Linked DNA regions of Notamacropus eugenii. The protein of the gene in region 1 interacts with the protein of each later gene in a biochemical or structural test. Links are inferred from orthologs where the notes say so. Each region holds a gene or a part of one and is shown in the gene's direction. Other genes may lie near its edges. The genes, in order: HIF1A, EGLN3 and EGLN2.

Region 1 (7,535 bases):
GGAAAAGTGGTTAGCTGAGACCTATGCTTCTGAAGTAGTGATCCAGTTTAATAGAGTTATATGTGATTGAGGAAAAATAATTCTATAATTCATCGCAGGGAGTGTGTCTTCTTGGTAGCTTTTAAATTACTTTTTAGATATCTCTTCCAATGAAAAACTGAATTTTGAGGCACTTTTAGGACTTTCAAAGTTTTACCTCCTGTTGATTGAATTGCTAGAAGGTTTGTGATTTAGTTTTAGGTAAAAAATAAAAAGCCACTGTTGATGGTTCTTAAGAATGACGTCAATTTGCTATTATAACAATGGTTTTATTTTGAAATGGTTTGATCACACGTAAATGTATGTATAGTCAGTCACTGGCTACAGAGGATGAACAATAAGTATCCAAAAGCAACCACATTGTAATCACTCTAGGTTACTGAATTGGCTAATTTTATTAGAGCCCCCAGTTATCATTAGCTAAGGAACAAATGACTGATTTAAATAAACTAAGAGGAATGTATATCAGTGTGTAAAATTACCAGTATTGTCCTCTTGCCATTTTGCAAGATGTACACTATCTAGTTTTTAGACACCTCCTTATAGCTATATGATTGTACAAAAATAAGAGATAGTAGCTTTGTAAAAAAAAAAATCCAGTCTTTATTAATTTTCAACCTCTCATTACTCTAATTAAATTATTAAAGTAGACATATCCCATATATACATACATATATGTATACGTATATATTGGTTAACTGATCACAGTTACATGTTTTTTTCATTTAGACTCTTATTTTTATGTATCCTTGAGGGTGAGACATTGTAACTTCCATATTTGCATATCCCACCCCCATTGTTGAAATAATACACTGAAGGGTGACAAAAACATCACATAAATTAAGGATGCACATTCAGAACATGTTTATTGATTTAAGGAGGGAAAAGGGTACCTGTGACAGATGAAAAAGAATAGGACTGAAACATGATTTCAAAGTAAAAAGAGATCACAAAATGTCAGAACTGGATAGGCCCTTACAGGATTCTGTATTCCAACATGTTGGCCGATAAGGAAACTGAAGCTGAAACAGAGGCAAGTGGCTACTAATGTAGGAGTAGGACACAGTTCTTCCAGTCCAATTTTCTTTCCATCACATTGATGAGGTATGTTTTCTACCTTTTTTTTTAACCATTAAAGCACCATAATTAATATACTAAGTAGCATCCATGATACATTAGCAAAGGAGAATTAGTGACTAAGGCAATGTTATGTTGATTTTTGGTTTAGTGGAACTATGCCGGTTCCATGGGAGGGCACATAAAAAGTGCTTAAGAATGCTTTTGGGTTGAACGATTAGAGTAAGACTTTATAGCTTTCCGGCTTCTATGTGAATCGAACTGTAAACAATTAAACCTGAAACCAGAGGGAAAGAGGGTGGGGGAATCTTGCCCAATCTCATAACTCAACTAAGATTCTCCCTTAATGGAGGCATGAAACAAACCAAAAAATAAATATTTTTACGGTACCAAACAACCATAGTTAATTCTTCCTTCTTGCAACATTCAAGTTCCTTATCATTTTCCCTGTGTTAAAGTAGAATGAAAACTTACATAAAGCAGTTTTTACATACATAAAAAGTAAGAATATCTTGTCCATTCTTAGTGCAACTTTCTACTGTTTTCTTTTGCGATTTTGCCTAAAGTTTTTGTTTGTTTGTTTTTGCCTTTATATTGTAACGAAAACCTAGATCCTAACATTTGGGGTTAAGGAGACAATTCCACCGTATTCCATGCCAAGTATAGGGTACTAGTACTAGCATTTTGTGGATTAGCAAAAGGGACTAAGCCTATAGCTGAAGGAAACCGTAATAATGCATTAAAAAACAACAGGGTAAATAGCCCTCAGTCGTGGGACATTACAAGGCTGCTTTTCAGGAAGGGTGCGTGGAGAAAGGGACAAGAAGCCACACGATACAGGATGGAGGAATGTTGCCCCTGAAAATGCAACGTCGGCCTAGTACCCGACGCCTGAGATCCTTTTCAGCAGCCCGGGCTAGCGAAATCCCGCCCCTAGCAGCTAGGAAAAAGAAAAGACAACGGCCGGCGAGGCTGGGTCCCGCAGCCACCCCAGGTCTTTTTCTCCCTCCTCTTCCCACCAGTCCCCCAGCTGCATCACAAGCCAAGCAGGACATCTCAGCTGTGCCTCCAGCTGACCACCAGCCGATTGGCCTAGGACGGCGAGGGCTGGGGTGGGGATAGGCCGGCTCGGGAGCTTCCCATTGGTGCTTGGGGAACCGGCCTCCCCCTCAGGTGAGGCGGGTATGCGCCTGCGCGTTCCTCGGGATTCCCCCCGCCCCCTTTTTCCTTCCTTCTTTTTACTCTTCCCCCCACCCACTCCTCCTTACTGGCGCGCGCGCGCGCTCGCGGCTTTGCTCCCTGCCCACTCTCCCCCCCCCCTCAGCCTCCGGTCCTCCCTCAGCCTCCGCCTCCCGAGCCCTCAGAGCTGCCTCTGTGGAAAGAGGAGGGAAGCCGAGAATCGGCGCTGCTGCGCGCCGGGCCAGGCCGCGCTGACAGAAACCGGAGACAGAGAGAGCTAGACTCGAACCCCTAGGATTGTCCGGACTCTCCCGTCCTCCGGAACGTTCTGGGTTCCTTTTTCCTGGAGGGAGGTGGTGGTGGTGGGGCCGGGGACCGCGTGTGTCCTTCCCCTTTTTAACCGCCGCCTCGGGATCGCCTCTCTACCCTCTCCATCCCCCTTCGTTCTCTCCCCCCTGTGCCTCGTGTGTGAGAAGCCGGAGCTTAAACCGGAGCGGACCGGGCCGAGGAAGCGCCTGGTGGCGGGGGCGCTTAGCCATGGAGGGCGCCGAGGGTGCGAACGACAAGAAAAAGTAAGTAAAGGGGGATCTCGCCGCCTGGCGCCCCTAAAGCCCACCACGCGCCGCCGGGTGGGGGGGGGGCGGAGGCGGGGAAGGAGAGATGTAGATGGAGGAGTGCAGGGGGGAGGGGGCCGCTTCTATTCATTTCTCCCTACCCCCCCTTCCTCACTCGGCCTCCCCCCCTTACTGTCCACGTCGCCATCTTGGTGTGGGGGGTTGGAGAGCCATTGAAAGTGGGAGTCCGGGACGACTTCGCCCCTGGTCCCCTCCCCCGGCAGCCACCGCGCGGGCGCGCGCGCACTTCCCTCCTCCCGATCGCCCCCTCCCCTTGCGACCCCAGCCTGGAAATCCAGCCTTGGAAAATCAAGCTGCTTTGGCTCCCTCCGGGTCAGCACGCTCTGCCCCCGGACGAGGCTCCCTCCCTCCCTCCTTCCTCCGTTTACTCTCCCTCGATTCTATTGAAAACCCCTCCGGGGGAGGGGAGCTGCAGTTTGACCCGGCTGAGCCCTGTAATTCCCTCCCGGGCCTCAGGTTCTGCACCCCGTGGTAATGTGGTGTCCGTGTTCTGTGATTGTGTCCTGCCGGGCCGTGAGTCAGGCAGCGAATTGCGATCGTGTTGTTGTTCAATCTGGAGGCCCCCTCCCCAAGCGATCAATTCTCTTCTCAGCTTTGTGTTTTGTCAGATTGGGGGTGCTCGGCTGGCACTTATGAAGCGCGACGTGCCAAGGGAAGAGTGAGACGCTAGCGGCATTTACGGAGAACACCCAAAATTGTCCTTTTGTATTGGTAGCCAGTGCCAAGGGAGAGTCTAGGTGTAGCAGATAGATTTGACTTCCTGAAGTACGTTAAGGGAGATTGAGTGGATAGGTAAACGTCCGAAGTGACCAAAGCGCGACGCAAATACAGCAGAAGCTGGCAAGGTCTGAGAATTGTTGGCTTTGCCCATTTTCTGGCCCGGCTCTCGTTGTGTTAAAATCTTTAAGAAAATGTCAGAAGGAAGTAGCTGTTTTCATGGAACTTCTTTAAAGGTGTAGGTAGGAAACATTATGAACTTTAAGAAGAGTCAAAGAGTTTTAAAATACACATATTTAAGGCCTTGGAATGATTTTGAACCCAGGTACGTTAACTCCAAAATGTAATTTCCTAGTTGAAGAAATTTTGTCTTGTGTCGTGTGTGGATTCTAGAAGGAAACTTTGTAAAACATTGAAATTATGTTGGTGTTCCGTTTTGGTAAACTGGTCTTTATTTAATGATTAGCCCTTCCAGTCTCTATCTGAAAACGATATGTTTGTTTCATATTATCATGTTTTTTGGAAATGTTATCTTGGCCCATTTGAAGTAGAAACTTTTGAGGAAGGTAAATAAGGTGTAGATAAAATTATTTAACATTTTTACAGTGTAAAAAAGTTAATTAAAAAGTTAGTTTCCTTCTCTGTAAAATGAGGGGACTGGACTAGGTAGCTTCTAACGTTCCTGTCCAGCTCTAATCTAGGTCTATGACCCTATGAGAAATTAACACAGAGGCTGTTATAGAAGTTAGCAGGAATGAATTGCTATTAATTTCATAGAAATAATTATAAAGCTTTTGCCCGAATTGGATTGTACATCTCAGCTTAGAGAATAACTTGATATTCTGATTGTAATTTACATTAATTTTGTACGTGAAGGTGCATTAAGCAAAGTTACACACTTCCCCTTTGCAAGTAATAGTATACTCCATTACACTTTTGTTCCAACAACCAGTATTAATATTATGACATCATGAATGGTATATGGGTCCACTCATTTGAACTGGGATTCTTATGACTGTTAATGACTTTTTTTTGCCTTTGTGTCCTCCATCCCTAGAAAAGTGACTTCCATATATTAGGGACTAAAAAAAATATTGTTGAATGTAGAAGTTTCTTTTTGAAAGCTAGTAATTTTTGCATATTGAGGTACTTGAGCAAGAACCATTCTGTATTTGTATTGCAAGTTAAATGAAGAATCCAGTCATATAAAATATAACTATGCATGGGACGTTATTGCTACTCCCTCAGTCTGGGTTTTGTGCTACTCTTTTTTAACATTCTTAGCATAGCTTGGTCTAATAGACTTGGAGAAGATCTTAAGAAGTCAACTTGTTTAGTCCTCTCTCTTAGGCAGATTACCACATCCAGACTTTCTAAAGTACATGTCCAGTGTCATAAATATCTTTGTGGATAGGAAGTCCATAATGTTCTAGAACAAGTTTTCTTAATCTGGACTCCCTTGGTTCTGTGCATACATTTCAGTGGGTCTGTAAACTTTCATAGGAGGAAATCATTTATTTTCAGTAACCATTGTTTTCCTCTGTAAAGTATGCATTTTATTTCATGAATTTAAAAATATTCTGAGAAAGGGTTCATAAAGTTCGTCTGCTAAAGGGATCCATGGCACACCTTTGTTGCTTCTCATAAGTCAAGATTCTTAATGTTTCTTGAAATAAAATGCTTTATTGCTGCATTTTAAACCTGTTTCTTCTTGTCCTTCATTAGAAATGGAAAGTTTTAGTATAGTTTTATATACTTCAGTTTGCTGTCACCCCTAAGAGTTTGCTATAGTTTCAACTTTTTTAACTTCCTTAAAGGTCCTTATGAATGCTTTTATTCTCTGAATTTGATACAGCATCATCACCTGAAAAATATGAAATTCAAAACAAGACTCAGAACCCTAAAAAGAACTTACCAAGTATGTAATGGAACAGAATTGATGCTTTTTCTATTTTTCTACTAATAATGCATTCTTGAATTGTTAGTTTTTTAACAGTAGTATGGTATACACTAGGGTTTAGTTTGTTTCTCTCAGACTGGGTCTTTTTCTTCCAATAGTTGGCTTTTTGGTCCATCAGCAATGCATTTATTAAGCCTCACCATGTTCCAGCTATTATGCTAAGTGCTGAGGATACAAAGACAAAAGTGAAATAGCCCCTGCCCTTGAAGAGCTTACCTTTTTATAAAGAAGACAACAAACACATTTTTAAAAGTATTTGTATAATATATACAAAATGCATACAAAGTAGTTTGGGAGGAAAATTCACTAGTTAATAGCAAAATACCTGACATTTGTACCAGAATAAATAAAAATATCATAGAATCTGGATTCAAATCCCAGCCTTGGGCAAGTCACTTAACCTTTTAAAATATTTTAATTTCACCAAAGTTATGGAATAGACGAAATATAAAGCAATCTTTGCTAAATATAGTCATTTCTCTCCACACACAAAATGGTGTGCTTAGCAGTTGAATCAAATTAAATTGGTTGACTCATTCAGTAACAATAAACCTCCCAATTTTTTACATCTTTAAAAAAATTAGTGCAACATATTATTTTTCTTTAGTCATTTACTTGTTTTACAGGACCTGGAATTGAGTTCATAAGATTTTGACACATATTCTTTAAATTTTCATCATGGAAGTGCACTTAACATACTAGATATATTAAGCATAACTTTGATAAACAGATAGCCTATAGAGTTTCATTGAAATTTAAGTTAGACAAGTTTCAGGGCCACTGACACATACATATTTCCATCTCTTGGACAGATTTCTTAATCTTTTGTGACATGGTGCACTATTGTGTTGTAGTGTTTGTTCATCTCCATTTGAGAATTTCTGTAATCCTAGAATAATTCAGTTTAACAACATATATCAAGAGGCTCATCATTATCTTCTCTTTGTAAGTAAAAAACCTCAAACATTTTTTGAGTGCATGTTTTACAGTATGATGAAGATGCCCAGATCTTCCAGGTACATTTGGATTTGTCTTGGTATAGACTTGAATGAAAATTTGAGTTTCATCAGTAAAAATTACCTTTTCCCATTTTTTAGTACTCTTGTCTTTATATTGCCTTACACATGACAGTTCCTTTAGTAATGGTTAATAGCTAATTTTTACTAGTCTTTTACTTCTAACTTTAGAAAGCTTAGACAGCACTTAAGAGAAATCAACAACTTAGCCTGCCAGGTCCTTCTGAACATATTTTGTAAGGATTAATGAGACTTTCACAGCAATAATATCTAATAGTCATTAAGTGTGCTCTTTAATACCTATAACTTTTGCACATTTCTCTGGAGAAATAACTATTTTTAAAGATCACAGAATTTAAGACAACAAAATAGATCAATGAAACGTATGTTTGTCATGAAATTCAGCACTGAACTCACAAGAGTACTAACTAAAGATGGGAAAACCAGCTCAGTCTGGTTTTATCTAGTTAAAGTCAGACTTTATGAGTCAGATTACTCTCAGTAGAAAGACACAGGCATAACTATTGTTATTAAAAAATACCATCATTGATATTAATGCAGTGTTTTCTCTAGTGTTTAAAAACCTTCCACAATCTGGATCTGGTTATTACCTTGTGCTCTACACTTTTTGTATTCTAGTCATGTAAAATGGAAGTCTCAAACTCTGGGTTATCACATACCTTTTTGGTTTTTCACAGTCTCCATACCTTGTGCCTGCAGTGTTTTCTCATCTTCAGTTTTCAGAATCCCTTCTCTTTAGTGCTCAGTTTAGGCACCACCACTTCCTATGTAGCCTTTCAATTATTATCATCTCACAACTTGAAAGCTGAATTGTAAAAATTCTTCCAAGGTTGGAGGAGATGACATCTAGAGAATTTTAAAGTGATTGATACTTACTGGTACTGTCTGAAA
Region 2 (7,535 bases), on another chromosome or scaffold:
TGAGAGTAGACTCCCTCAGGGGCCAGAATCTGTAAACTTTTAATGGCTGGGAGCTTTTCTATTAGAAACAATCTTGGCCAATCAGGGCTAATTCTTAAAACTGATTGATTTCCTTTGTAATCTACCAAATTCAGGAAGTGGAGGGAATAGGATTGTATATCTTAGATTTTAGAGTAGGAAGGGCATCCCCAAGTCCAACCATCTCATTTAATAAATGGGAAAACTGGGGCACTGAGAGATTAAATAATTTGTCCAAGGTCATATAGCTAGCATATGTTGGAGGTAAGATTCAGATTCAGAACTTCGTTACTGAAGTCCAGCACTCTGTCTTGGAAGAAGTATGCTTTGGACATTGATCTTGGATGTAAAAGGAATTCGAAGACGCCTCCTTTGTGTTAATACCTTACCTTTGTACCACCATTTTCTCTTTGTTCTCTCTCAGATGCAACATTTTGGGCGTATATTATCTTGCTCTTTAATCATTTATGAAACTAATCTCATAAACTAGAGCTGGGCAGGAAAAGCTAGGAAGATTACAAACAACTTGTTAGTTAACAAGTACAGAGCTCCCATGCAGAGTAATAACTAGGCAACTTAAAAGCTTTAAAATTGCACAATTCCATGTTGGAAAGACTGGCTTATGCTTCTGATGAGAAAGAAGAACTTTTGAGGTTAGCTCCCCCTTTGTACTTCAGAGTTTTGCTTGGAGCTTATTTCTTTAATTAGAGCAACATAGTCTAGGCTTTCTGAAATATTTTTAAAGTTTGGAACTAGGGACTTGCTGGGAAACCTTCGTTAGCTGTTTCAGTGAACTCATGGGTGACATCTAACACTCCCATGTAGGCTAGAAACAGATTAAAATGTAATTGGGAAATATTTAACAAGGTAAGTAACACTACAATAAAACATAGATAATGTTACACTTTAAAACTAATTCAATATGCAGCTTGCAGGAATCCTTATGTATGGATTAGTGGCTGCACTTTTGTTTGAGAATGACATAAGGGCCTAGACCACTAAGAATTTCAGCAACTTGCTCAAAGTCACGAGGCTGGTATATGACAGAGACAAGACTTGTACCCACATCTTCCTGACTCATGGGCCAGCTCTCTATCCCTGGATGCCTCCTCTAGGCTATTTATGTAATGTAAATTTAATATATTTTATTTTAATATAATTTTATTTTATATTTTGAATATTTTATTTTTATTTTAATATAAAATTTGATTCTTACAACTCTGAAAACAGTGATATAGATTTTTATCAACCCCAGTTTACAAATGAGGAAACTGAGGACTAGAGATTCAATGACATTATATTCTATATTCTGGGATCAATTCAAAGTCGGGTCTTCCCAACTCCATAGTATCCTTAATAGCTGGCATTTACGTAATGTTTTAAGGTTTGCAGAGCATTTTACAAGTATTTCCATCATAACCACCTCAGAGTTAGGTGCTATCATTATTATTATTTCCTTTTTACAAATAAATAAACTGAGACAGACAGAGGTTAAGTGACTTGCCCTGGGCCATATAGCTCCTAAGTATATGAGTCCTGATTTTAACTCAGGTCCTACAGACTCCACCGTCCAGCCTTCTATCTTCTCAGTGTACCTTTCAAGACAACATTTTTTCTTGTTAGATTCAAATAGGAAAGAAAACATCACCGATGCCTATTTTATATAGATATTATTGGAAAACAATTATGCAAGTTAGGTGTGTTTTCCCCCCTTTCAATTCTAGTCAGCAACGTAAAGAAGGAAAAAGAATGTACAATCCATTGAACTGAACTGTTTAATCTATAGATAACTGAAATTTTACTTGTTTGGTTAAGCCCATCCCTAGGGTATAGTTCACCTGGCTATTAAGATACAACCATAATAACAACAAAGCAGGAGCTGGGGCATAATTACACTGACACATATCATGCCAAGGCAAACATTTTTCTAGCTCAAACTCTCCTGCCTCGCAGCACGTCTTGCAAGTAATGGGCAGTCGATAAATATTTGCTGATTAACTCATTATGGAAGAGTTTTCTTTTCATTTTCTATCTCTCTTTCTGTCTTTCCTTTCTTCTTTGCCTTTCTTGCTTTATTTTTAAAATTTTATTTTTAAATTATCTAGCATTTATTTTGTCTCTTTTCCATCCCCCCCCCCCCCAACCAACGAAAGACAAAAAGTAACAAGTAAAACAAAAACCCTAACCAAATGCCCCAAAATATGTTTCCATCTGCACCCGGAGTACAACACCCCTGTCTGGGTAACTTGCCTGGGAAATCTTGGTTGGTCAATGAATTAATGAATCTGTGTTTTCTAAGAGAAAATATGATTTAATAATAGTTCCTATTTGTACGGTGCTCTAAGGTTTGCAAAGCACCTTCCACATATTATCTCATCTGATCCTTATAAAAACCCTGACAGGTGGGTGCTATTATTGTCCTCAACTGGACAGTTGTTGAGGACAGTTTAAGTGACTTGCCCAGGGCTACTAAGTATTTAAGGCTGATTTGGGAACAGGTCAAGCCCCTGGGTCCACCGGGTCATCTACTTGATTCGGTTTTTGAAATCCTGGTAGGCATTACGCCGGGATTTAATATAGATGGAGAACTTGGTAGAAGAGCTTTCAGATTAAACTGCTCAAGCTTATGAAAATTTATGGAAAAACAAACAAAAGAGCGAATCAGTAGCATGCAGACTTGACATCCCCCTGTCAAACAGTACAGACATGCAATCGGTCAGCCCTACTCCTAAACCTGAAAAAAAGAAAATAATAAAGGAACAAAAGAGAAAATGAAAACAACGCCAGCAAGTTCTAAGAGAACCCATCTGTCCCGCCCGTTTATAAAGGCGCGAGGGGGGCGGTGTCCTCTAGCACGCTGACCTCTGGGCATTTGCAGCCAGGGGCGGGCCTCCTGATGTCCGGGGGTGTGAGTGTTGCCCAGTTAGGGGCGGGACCTGGTGACGTCCTGCGGAGTTTGGGTGGCCCGGTAAGGGGCGGGGCGGGGCGGGGACGGATACTCTGCCCCGGAGTCCTTGTCTAGTCCGCAGTCACTTTGGCTGGCGCTCCAAAAAGGGGTTCCCTCTAAGTCTCCACGCTGGGCCAGTCCAGTCCTGGGTCGATGAGCCCCGCGCAAACTCCTGCGGAGCTCGGACGGTGCTTTTGTTAAGTGGACTCCACTCAAAGAGTGGTGCGCTGGGTGCCCCCCGGAGCTGCCGGTGCGGCGCCGTCTCCCCCACCCCCGATCTCGAGGGGCAGGAGCCCTGGCACCCCGGGGGCCTCAAGCTGGGTGTCTGTCTCCCAAAGTCGCTCACACGCCTCCTCCAGTCACCCAGGCTGGGGCCCCCTCGGCTCCCCTCCGCTCGGAAGTCACGATGCCCCTGGGACACATCATGCACCTGGATCTGGAGAAGATCGCCCTAGAATACATCGTGCCCTGCCTGCATGACATCGGCTTCTGCTACCTGGACAATTTCCTGGGCGAAGTGGTAGGTGACTGCGTCCTGGAGCGCGTGAAGCAGCTGCACTGTAACGGGGACCTGCAGGACGGCCAGCTGGCTGGACCCCGCTCCGGGATCTCCAAGAGGCACTTGCGGGGAGACCAGATAACCTGGATCGGGGGCAACGAAGAAGGCTGCGAAGCCATCAGCTTCCTCCTGTCCCTGATCGACCGGCTGGTTTTGTACTGTGGAAGCCGCCTGGGCAAATACTATGTCAAAGAAAGGTCCAAGGTAAGGGCGCTGTTACTTTCAATTGGGGACTGGGAAGAGCGGCGCCCTGACCGATCGCTAAGTTAAGCACACCACTCACGTTGGCAAGAAACTTTCCCCCAAAATGTTTATACAGAGAAGACTAGTTTGGGTTAAAACAAAAATAATACAAAAAAAATAGTGGTTTGGGTTAAAGACTTGGACCGAGGCTACTTTAGCGGACACTTAATTTTAAATGAATTAGCCCCACGGATAGTGTGGTACAGTGGAGTGAACGTTGGATTTAGGAACCTAATTCCGGCTTCTGCCACTTAGCATTTGTGCGTTCTTGGACAAGTCATTTTCCCTCCTCCGAGCCTCAATTTCCTTAACGTGTAAAATGAAGGTGTTTTTCCTAGATGTCCTCTGAGGTCTTTTCCTGTTCTAAAGTTGTGATCAGCAGCACTGTCTTTGAAGGAACTTCTTTCATTGCTGGTAAAAAACTAATCAACCTTGGTTTCTGTATAGTTTGGTGATAATTTGATACTGAGAACCAGTGGACTAGACAGATGAAGTTAGCATTGGACACGTCTTAAAGATTTCGGAATAGGTGTAGCTTTGTTCTTGTTTAGTCATCCCGTAGTCCCCCCCATACCTGTTGCTCTGGTGTGTCTCCAAATACACTGTCTTTGGGGACCCATAGTTGTGGACGGCAGCTTGTGCAAGGTGTAAGCTCTTTCCCTCTCTCTGTTTCGGTCGGTGCGTTTGGCCCTTTGGCCCCAGGTAGGGTTGATCTAATTTGTTGCTTGTGAAGATCTTTCCTTGCTACCTTCAGCCAGGCCCTTCTGTAGCAGTAAATAGTTGGTGAGAGAGTAGTCTAGGACTTTTGGAAGGAAAAGAGGTTTCAGTTCACCTATCCCTCAAGAGACTCTTCTTGAGGGTAATTTCTTAGATGTGCTTACGTTGTATATTGGCAGCATCTCTGCAAAGGTGGGAAAGTTACCTTAACTGTAGTATCTGTGCTATTTGTCTACAGACTTGGAGGGACTTGCAGACAATCTGTCTTCAGGTGTTTATTGGTTCAGCCCAGGTTGTTTCCGGTAACAGCTCCAAGTGACTCTACATTTTCTTTTATCCTAAGGGAGGCTGAGGGGTAGATGAGCATAAGTACCTTTTAAAAACCTGAGGGGCACAGAGGAAAGCAAGCTGGCCATCAGGTACCAGAAGAGTCATCTATGTATTATTTGAGGGGGAAATAAAGTATTTTTCACAGTTCAAGACTGATTCTGTGATAAAACAAACCACTGCCATCCCTTGGCCCATGATCTGAGATGAGTTCTGTTAAGACAAAAAATAAAGGACAAATAGCTAAGATGTAGAATTGAGTCCTCGGAGAAGTGAAGGAGGGAGGAAGAAAGAGACAAGTATTAATTAATTAATGAAGTGTCCTGTGCTTTATAAATATTTGGTTGTGAGGAGGTTTGGAATAGAAAATTTGGAGGAAATTAGAAGATTTCTCTAAGAGGAGTTCAAATTATTTAAAGACAAAACCAAACCCCTAAACATCTGCTTTTAACTTGGGGAAAATTGCATTACCTTCACAGAATTCTTGAAGTCTGCCAAGAGGCATTTATTAAACGCTCAGGAAGTCATTTTAATTAATTAAGATACTAGACTTTCTGGTCCAATTTTGAAGGACACTCAAGATGCCTAAAGTTCTTTCAAAGCAAGATTATACAAAGTTTGAAATAAATGCTTCTTGTGGACACTGAAAAAAATAGCTTTGAGGTAGTAAAGAGTAAGTAATCACTAAGGAGATCCATCATTCCATTTAAACCTCTCCAAGTTTTAGCTTCTTTATGAGCAGCAGCCTGACCCACCTATAGGGGATTGTGGATCATCCCTACTCAGTCCTTCCTTTTACAGAGAGGATAAAGTGACTTGCCTGAGTTCTCATAGTTACCATTTAAGTCAACAAGCATTAATTGTGTCTGCTATGTACCAGGCGCTATGCTAAGGGAGGAGGGGGTGGTGTATGTATACTAATCCCCCCCACCCCCCACCTCCCTCAAAAAAGGAACCCAACCCAGGTCCTGAATCAAATCAAGTATCCTTTCCACTGGACCACTCTGTTTTTGCAAGGCCTGTCTTTCAACCCTAAAAGTTTAAGGGTAAAATTTTAATGGAAAGAATCTGAAACCCATCCAGGGCAAGAAAATTTGGTCCCATCAGGATTTGATGGTTTTATCCCATATTGGTGTGATATCCTTCCACGATCGGAATAACTTAATTAAATGTAACTCATCCAAAATGTAAGTGGATTTTAAAGTTTTTACTGGGTGGATCCCTCAAATACTTGTCTTATTTGTCTTTTCACCCTCTCCTAGGGCCCTCCCTCCATGCTTTCACACTCACCCACTCCACCCCACTCAATGTTTCACAACTTAGTGTTGGTAGATTTTTGTTGAATGAATGCTTTTTGAAATTGAAGCAAGGAAATTTGATACTGATGTCCATTCTAACAAGTGGAATTTAGGAGGTTTCTCACAAGGCAGCCTACCTTTGTCCAGAATATAGATTCTCATCTGCTGTCCTAATATGTAGCTCTTCATTCTCCAAATGTATGATTAATAGAAAAAGTAAGGCAAAATATTCTCGAACCAATTAGAATGTGTGTATATTCACATCTCTAGTGAAAAAAGCTCTATCAGAAGAAGAGAAGACATAGGGTCATATAAAGAAACCTCTTTAGCGCTCTTGGATTAGAGAGACAGAGGTGGTATCCAGTTCCTCATTTAGTAAATTTTGGTAGAAAGGAAACCATTTTCTTTCGAGGAATTTTCTTAACTTTGCCTGTTTGTCTTCCTTTCCTGTCCTTTACTTATTTCCCTCCATCTCCAGTATGGAGAGTACTCTATCCTAGGCATGGAAACCTAATCAAACATAAGGCAGAATCTGCTAAATCTATTTTAGGTTTCCTACTGTTCTTAAAGCTGAGGTATGTATTTATTTGTTTGAACATATGAATAATACTTTTCTTACTTTTAATGAGTCTTGCGAAGGAGCAAAAGCCATCAAATTGTAAGTTTGTCTAAACGCCAGGCTGAAAAGGAGAAATATTGGTCAGAGTTCAGTTGCTGAAGAAATGAGGGGCTGCTGAGATTTTAAGAGAACCCTTCATTAAGTTACCTGGGCTGAATTGACCTTGGCAGTTGAACTTGTTGGAAACATATCTTCAGGTTCTTAATTAAGGAGTCTTTGGGGAAGTCTCTTGGTTGTAATTTCTTTGCCATGTGCAGCAGCATGGCGCCCCCTAACTTCAAGTGTGGTCCTTGCTTAGAGACCCTCCCTGTATTCGTTTACAAGACTGCTCCCTCCTTTTTCAGGAATGTAGGAAATCTCCAAGACAAATATTGGTCACTACTTTCTCCTTTTACTTGACTGCATAAATCTTACGGAACAGGGATTTATTTTCCACTGGGATTGTAATTTATAGAACCAGGAGTTCTCTTGCTCAGCAATAGTCAACAGCTAGTTAGATTTTTTACAGTAACTCACCAGGTAAAAATGTCACTAACTCACAAGAATGGATATATACATATACATATACATATATATTTATACACACAGACACACACGTATACATACATGTGTGTATACATACAAACATTCATATATATGTTCTTATGTATATGTGTTATGTATTTTCATATATATTTTTGAACCGTAAGCCCAATTCTAATTCACATTTCACTGATTGCCAAGCCTTTCCCTTAAATGACTGTAGAAGCTGATTCTGAGTTCTTGGAAAACTCAAAGGCTTTAGTGTTTCCCATTACTATTTTTAGA
Region 3 (7,535 bases), on another chromosome or scaffold:
CTGAGTCTCCTCTCTCCCTTGTGGCTTTGAGGGTTGGACATCTGCCCCCATTCCGGGATGCCAGAGAAGCTGTGGATCAGGGACCCGGGACTATCTGCGTCCAACACTTTTTCCCCATTCTGTTCCCTTTTTTTGCCTGGTTTGACTCCGTCTCCCATTCTGCCCTAGTTTCTCTGAGAGAGCATTAAGCACAGAGTGGGCTCCCTCTATACTTCAGGGGGGACTGGGAGGGACCCTTGTCTGAGCCATTGGGGGCAGAGCTAGGGGGAATGCCCCCCCATCTACAACCCTGAGCCTTGGGGTGGCTATACCTGGCTTGTCACCAACCTTATGACCTTTTCCATTATCCAAACTCTGGGACCAGAGGCGTGAGCCTCCGCCAGTCTCTTCCCTCCCAGAACCCCCAGGACCCTGCTGACCCTTGTAAATGGTATTTATTAGACTGGGGGGGCATTGAGGTGGGGAGGGGACCATCATCAAGTTTGTTTCCACATACACATGCACACATATATATATTGATATATAAAATGATGGTTTTTTTTTCCAACTCTGTCTCAGTTTCCTTAGTCATGGGGTCAGTGAAATTCAGAAAAAGGGGTGGGAACTCTAGAATGATAATTTTGGGATTTAGGGAGGCTGGCATGAGAACTACACATAGGTGAATACACAGGGCCCGAGGTCATGCCTGGGGTGGGGTGGTCTGGCCTGGGTGATGTCCGAGGACTGTGGAGTGGGGGCCAAGGTCAGGGGTGAGGCTTGGAAGAGAGGAGCCTGGGCAAGGTCCCAGGCCCAGGTTGGGGCTAGGAAAGGAGGGATGGGGTTGGGTGGATGGGTGGGGTTCAGAGGTTAGGTTAGGGACTTGAGGTAGAGAGGGGAGAGGTCACAGGAGCCCAGAGGGTGGAAAGGAGGTTGGGCCTGTAGAGTTGGAGGAGCAGAATGGAGATTGGGATAAAGGGTATGCGGGAATCTTGGGGGTGGGGGGAAGGATTCCCCACTACCTCCCCAGACACATGACAAATACCTTGTCTTGTTTTAGGAGAGGCCCAACAGCTCAGGAAAGAAGAATTCCCTGTCTCGATGGGGGATGGGGAAGAGAGGGGCATATGGTGTCCTTAGTCTCCTCCCTGGGGTTCCCCAAGGCCTGGGTCTCCCACATCTCAGCCCCAACTGCCGCTGCATCCAGGCCTGGGCAGTTCCTGGAAGTCTCCCAGTCCCCTTCCACCTGTTCTGGGGGGTGGGGAGTGGGGAGGGAATGTGGAATGTGTGCCTCCCTCCTGGCCCCTCTGCTGCCTGGGTCACGTACCCCACGTCTCTGTCACTGTCCCTGTGGGATAGCCTTGCCAAGGAAGGGGGTGAGGGCACAGGAGGGGGTATTTATAGAGTGTCCTGCAAATCCCCCTTCCAGGGATAGCAGGCTGACATCCCGCTCACCACACCCCGCTCCGAGGTTGCCTGCCTCCCCTTTCCCTGTAGATGCGATCTTAGAAGGACTGAGCTGTTTCCACTTGAGTTCCCTGAGGACAGGGACCCTCATTTTGCCTTTCTTGGGTCTTGGGCCTGAGTGTGGTGGCTGCCGCCTAGTAGGCACTTAATAGATACTTGAGGACTTCTTGACCGAGGTGACTATTCCCTCGGACCCTGGGGTCCTGCTCCCCCCACCCCCACGTCTTCTGGGAGGTGTCCTCCTTGGGAAGGGGCAGCGGGGGCTGGAGGCCGGGAGTGGGGAGGAAGGACCCGCAGCCTTGGCCAGCCCAGGCCCTGGGATCTAAAAAGGGGAGCGGGGCCTGAAGACTCGAGGGAGAGAGGAATGAACAAGAGGGGACGCTGAAGGAGGCGCACCCCGGCAGGAGGGGTCGCTGGACTGGAAGGGGCAGATGTGACCTATCTGCACTACCTCAGTTTCCTCATGTGTAAAATTAAGGGCTTTTGGACGATCTGACTTCTGGGCTCCTTCCAGCTCGAAATCTGGGACCCCGTGAAGAGGACATCGGAAGAAACATGGGGGACAAGGGGGCAAGGATGACCTGTAGGACTAGGGGAAGGGAGAGCGAGAAGACCCCGCGGGAGAGGACACTGGGGGCTCACTGGGGGGCAGGGAGAGGCCGAGGGAGACGTGAGGAGGGCTCTTGGGGGCCAGGGGAGAAGGGTGACCGAGAAACAGGGTGGGGAGTCCCTGGGGGAGGGGCCAGGGATGGAGGTGGGGTGGGGGAGGGGTCCCCAGCTCTGTCCTCCCCTCCCCCGGCCTGCGGCTCCTGCGCACGCGCGCGCCCGCTCCGCCCTCTCCTCCCCTCCCCCGCCGGCTCCTCACGGTCACGTGCAGGGGCGGGGCCCCGGGGCGGGGTCTGGGGGCGGCCGGGGGCGGGGGATGGCGCGCGGCGCTGCGCGGGGCGGCTGGCACAGGCGGCGGCGCCGGGGCCGGAGGAAAATCCCCGGTGAGTGGGGGGAGGAGGGCGTCCGGGGCGGGGGGCGGCCGCGCGGAGGGGGGCTGCGGGAGGGGTCCTCGGGACCGGGCGGGGCAGCCGTTGGGGGAGGCGAGGGGCGCGCGCCGCTGCCCCCCAGCTCCCCGCCCCCAACCGCTGCCGTGTCGGCTCAGCCCCGCGGGGAGGGGGCCCGGGGCCTGGGGGGGCTCCCCTGGTCCGCCCCCTCCCCCTCCGCGTCCTCCTCCCCTCCCCCACCCCAGACCCCTTCCCTCCTCGCCCCCCGCAGACTCCCCTCTCCCCTCCTCCTCCTCCCCCACCTGCCCCCCAGGCCCTCTCTCCTCTGGCCTCTTCCCTCACCTCCTACAGCCCCCATCTTGGCCCTGAAGTCCCGGACTCCCCAGGATCCCTCCTGTCCCCCTCCCCAGTCCTGGACTGTTCATGCTCCCCCTTCCCAACCCTCAGGCCCTCCCTCCCGACTTCCTGTTCCTGGGTCCCTTCTCCCTTCCCCAGCCTCTTCCTCCTCAAGCCCCTACCCCCTGCCCCCCATACTGCACCCACTTCCTCTCCTCTTGACCCCCAGGCTGCTTGCCCTCTCCTGCCATTCCAAGAGCCCCTATGTCCATGTCCTTGGCAGGCCTGGGTCCTTCCCTTTTCTGCCCCTCAGTCCCCAGTTCCTTCCATCCCTCTTCTGGGGGGGCCACTTGGTCCTCCACTTTTCTTTCCCAGATTGCCCAGCCCTACTTCCATCCCTGGAGCCCTCTTGTGCTGTGCCCGCTGTCTCCCCCCTCCTCCTTCCCTTTTGGCATTCTTGGATGCCCTCTCGGCGGGTCCCTCCCCCTCCCTTTCTACCTCTGTGTCCCCATTCTTATCTGGCCCAGGTCCTGCTTACTCTCCCCCGTCCTGGGCTTGGGTCCCGTTTTGCTCCCAACCCTCTTCCTCCTCTTTGGAGGATCCCCCATCATCTCCCTCTGCTGCCCTCCTTGAGCATTCCCTCAGCTCCCTTTCCTCTTCCTGACTGGGGTCTTCCTTCTCTACCCTTCTCCATCCCCTCCATCCTGGGCCTCTCAGTGCTCCTCCCTTACTCCCCATCCAGTACCACTTCCTCTTCACCCTGACTTTGCTAAGGCCTTTTCCCCCTCTTCTCCCTTTCTGTCCTGGGATCCCCTTCCACCATCAGCCCCCACTTTCCTCATTGGACCTTGAGTTCCCCCCACCTCCTTCTGCCTTGCCCTGGTTTTCCCTCCTGCAGCTGCCCTCTTACACCTCCCACTATCTTTCTCTCTTTCTAGCCGCTGTTGGTCATCTGCTTGACCCATTGCTGCCTCACAAAGGCCAAGGACAACGGGGGATCATGTCCCAGGTTCCTGGGCTATGAGAAGAGCTGCCTGCTTAGTCCCATTCAGTCCTGTGCCAGGCTCTGCCACTGTTATCACCAGCTGCAGTGAGAGGAGGAGGAGGCTGGCACCATGGGCCCGGGCAGTGTCCTCCGTGCCTGGGGGATGAAAACGCTGCCATGGACAGCCCATGCCAGTCCGACCTCCTGAGCAGAAATCTCCCTCAGCTGCCCACTGTGGACACCCCTGGGCACAGCCTTGCCAGGATGGGCTTGGAGAGCTATGTGTCCTGTCCTTCGCAGCCCTCCTTCCACCTCTCTGGTCCTTGCGAGGCTTTGGCTGGTCCCAGCAGCAGTGGGGGTGGCCCTCTGCCCCCAGGAGCCGGCATCCCCTCAGCTGCAGCCAGCCCCATGCCCGAGGGGCGCAGTGGGCAGGGAGGAGGGGAACTTCGACCCCTGCAGAGCGAGGGAGCTGCTGTGCTGATCACCAAGGAGTGCCCGCTGCTTGCCGCCCGGGGAGCCCAGCCCGAAGCCCCCAAGCGGAAGCAGGCTGAGAGCGGTGGTGACTCTCCGCCCAGCAAGCGGCGCTGGGTGGAAGAGGGCAGTGAGACTCCGGTGCAGAGGGAGGCTGTGGTCTCTGCCGCCGAGCGGCTGGCTGTGGACTACATCATACCTTGCATGCGGTGCTATGGCATTTGCGTGAAGGATGGCTTCCTCGGGGCAGCCTTGGGTGGCCGAGTGTTGGCGGAGGTGGAGGCATTGAACCGAGATGGGCGCTTTCGGGATGGACAGCTTGTGAGTCAGCGGGCTATCCCCTCACGTAGCATCCGGGGAGACCAGATTGCCTGGGTGGAGGGTCGTGAGCCTGGCTGTGAGAGCATCGGGGCTCTGATGGCCCACGTGGACGAGGTGATCCTTCATTGTGCTGGTCGCCTGGGCAGCTACATCATCAATGGCCGGACCAAGGTGAGGCCTGGGCCCATCGGCTGGCCACCACTCCATGGGAGCCTGCAGGGTCTCAGTTTCCTCCAAACCCCAATGCTCTGGGGCTCTTGTCTATTTCTGTGGCTACCTTGGGGGATTGGTGGGCACCAGGCAGATTCTGCCCTGGCTGAGCCAGCTGGGCACCATTGCTCTGGTGGGTTTGTGATTAGTGTTTCGAGAGAGCACAGAACAGAGAGTGAGTGCGGTGTGTGTGTGTGTGTGTGTGTGTGTGTGTGTGTGTGCGCGCGCGCGTGTGTGTGTGTGCAAGTGTGCGTGCACATGTGTGCAAATGGGTGTCTGGCCCTCACTGACTCCCCTTAGATGTCTCCCCTTCCCCTCTCTGCCTCTGTTTCCCCTCTCCCTCTTTCCTCCCCATTCATTCTCCTTCTTTCTTGTTTCTTTATCTTTCTTCCCCTAACCCTGTATTCTTCCTCCTCCTTCCTTCTTCTCCCTCCTTCTCCCCCTCTCCTCTCTGTGTCTTTCTCTCCCCCTCCCTTTCTCCTTCCTTCCCTCCAGGTCTTGTCCCTCTGTAACTCTCCCTGGACTGGGTTGGGATTATGTAACCGGGAGGGAGCCTGGCCCTGTCTCTTGGGAGGGCCTGGCCCACTGGAGCCCCCCACCCCTACCTGGGCTGGGCTCTTGCAGGCTCCTCTCTCTTCCTGGTCCCTCCCTTGGCCTGGCCCCAGCGGGTGGGTGGGTCCTGGCTGAACCCACCCTCTGCCCCCTGGAGCCAGCCCAGAGCTGTGCATCCTCAGTCATTCGCTCCCAGTCTCTGGGCCTCCTCTGTCAGGTGGGGCCTCAGTGGCCCTCATTTGGAGTCTGTGCCAGTCATGACTCGGGAAGTGTCAGGTGACCTTGGGCCAATTCTTTACCCTCTTGGGACTCAGTTTCCTTGTCTGTCCAATGATTGGGCTAGACTTAGGTTCTTTTGGGGCCCAGCCTGGGAAGGATAGATACTCATGGGGGTGTGTGTGAGGGGCTTCTCTTGACTTAGGTATAAGAATGCATCCTGTGGGAATGGGGGAGGGGAGAGGACAGGATAGGATGGGCCACTGGCCCCTCCCAGGCTTTCCCCCCCACCCCAGGCTCCCAGGAGACAGCATCTGTGGGCTTTTCCTGGCTTGAAAGGGCAGTAGCTGTGGGAGAGACTGAGGGTAGGGCTCGGGGTGTCCCTCCAGTTCTCAAGAGGCAGGAGAGTGACCTGGTATGGCTAGCAGGGAGGGCATTGAAGGGACAGATGCTGGTTGGCCTGGCCTGGGCTTCTTTCTGTGGGTGTCCTGCCTGTCTCCTCCCTCTCCCTGACCCCCCATATGCATGTCCTTTTGACCTGGTGACTCAGTGCCCCTGAGTCCTCTGCTCGCTGGTGGGACTGGGCATTGGGCCTTGGGGCTGCCAGTGGAAGATGCAACTGGGCCAGAGGGCCCTAGGTTCCTTGGATACTCTCTTAAGAGCTGTGAGTGGGTGGGGCCTGCCATCATTGGCTTTGGCCCTATTCTCTGACGCATTTAGGGGATCAGCCCTGGGAGGCTCGTAACTCTTTCCTTTCTGGACCTTTGGCTTCCAACCAGCCTAGGGCTGGGGGTGACCTGGAGGAGGGACCTTCTCCGTTTGTGCCCAGCACCCTGTCTAAGCTGCTGGGGTCAGTAGCAGGAAGTAGAGATTTCCCCAAAGCCCAAAGCCAGCTCTGGAGCTGGCCCTTTCTAAGGTTGGCCTGCTGCAGGCAGGTGCCAGCTGGCATGGGACAGGCAGGGAAGTGGTAGAGCTGGCTGCCTGTGGGCACTTTACACTTTAGTCAGGGGACTTATCCACAGCAGAGCTGGGGCAGCCAGGAGTAAGCCGCCTCCCAGCAAGGGGGACCTTCCCAGGCCATCCCAGTCACCTCCTTATGTGGCCCCAGAAGAAACTGAGGCCTTGAGGCCTAGTGGAATTAGGCGAGGGTTATCTGACCATGTTCCCTTGTGGGGAGGGAGAGGGCCTGGTCCAAAAAGCACCAGACCCAACTTGGAGTTCTGACTCTGCTGTTGATTATCAGCCTCTATGGTCTTTAGCAATCCCCTTTCTCTGGACCTCAGTTTCTCTGTTTGTAAAATGGGGCTGGACTTGATGGTTTCAGAGGCCTTTTCCAGCTCTTGTGTTTATTGTGTCGTTAAGACATGAGCTTTACCTCTGAGGAAGCTTTGATTAAGTGTCTGCTATGTGCCAGGCCCAGTGCTAATCATTGGGGAGCCAGAGAAAGGCAGAAGGCAGGCCATGCTTTCCAGGAGGCTCACAGACCCTAGGAAGGTGGAGCCTGCAGATGATTCCCCAGCCTCCCTAGGGCCCTGGCTACTTGCCCCAAGCTGTTCTAATTGTTGAACCCTCACCTGTATTTGGAGTTGCTTTTGAGGGTCTGCCTTCCCCTGGTGGGAGAGAGTGCCATGGGCCCCGGGAAGCCTCGAAGGGGTGGGGACTAGGGCCATCAGGGCCTGAGGTAGGGGGAAGCATGTGGTTGAGAGTTCAGTGGGCAGGATGAGTTTGACTGGTCATTTAGGTCTTTTTCTGCCCCGGGTCCCAATTTGTACTGACCTTAAGATTCCTATTTGTGGGGTACAATGAGATTTACCCTTGAAGGCCAAATTTCATTATGGAGAGGGCTGAGAGTCAGGAAGTCTTGAGTTCAAATCCCACCTTTAATCCTCTGCAGCTAACTTGAGGGAGGAAATTCTAAAGGCAGCAGACTTTTCTAAAGTGGGCAGCATCTCAGAGCTCTTGGGTGCAGGCTTTTTCCTCATAGGACAAATGGGGAAACTGAGAGGTGT

What was found.
Region 2: the proteins of HIF1A (region 1) and EGLN3 form a complex in vitro, tested with the Homo sapiens proteins (5 studies listed by BioGRID, with this or other methods). The link is inferred for Notamacropus eugenii from reciprocal best matches to the Homo sapiens genes HIF1A and EGLN3.
Region 3: the proteins of HIF1A (region 1) and EGLN2 form a complex in vitro, tested with the Homo sapiens proteins (3 studies listed by BioGRID, with this or other methods). The link is inferred for Notamacropus eugenii from reciprocal best matches to the Homo sapiens genes HIF1A and EGLN2.

The regions. Positions count from the first base shown.
Region 1 is NC_092872.1:305,216,950-305,224,484, forward strand, and holds the start of HIF1A (hypoxia-inducible factor 1-alpha), read left to right. Parts: upstream 1-3,728; 5' UTR 3,729-3,901; coding exon 3,902-3,972; intron 3,973-7,535.
Region 2 is NC_092878.1:51,263,245-51,270,779, reverse strand, and holds the start of EGLN3 (prolyl hydroxylase EGLN3), read left to right. Parts: upstream 1-3,016; 5' UTR 3,017-3,371; coding exon 3,372-3,728; intron 3,729-7,535. UniProt on the Homo sapiens protein: Prolyl hydroxylase that mediates hydroxylation of proline residues in target proteins, such as PKM, TELO2, ATF4 and HIF1A. Target proteins are preferentially recognized via a LXXLAP motif.
Region 3 is NC_092876.1:30,870,887-30,878,421, reverse strand, and holds the start of EGLN2 (prolyl hydroxylase EGLN2), read left to right. Parts: upstream 1-2,330; 5' UTR 2,331-2,432; intron 2,433-3,709; 5' UTR 3,710-3,933; coding exon 3,934-4,719; intron 4,720-7,535. Other genes in the region: RAB4B (ras-related protein Rab-4B), read left to right, coding at 1-4. UniProt on the Homo sapiens protein: Prolyl hydroxylase that mediates hydroxylation of proline residues in target proteins, such as ATF4, IKBKB, CEP192 and HIF1A. Target proteins are preferentially recognized via a LXXLAP motif.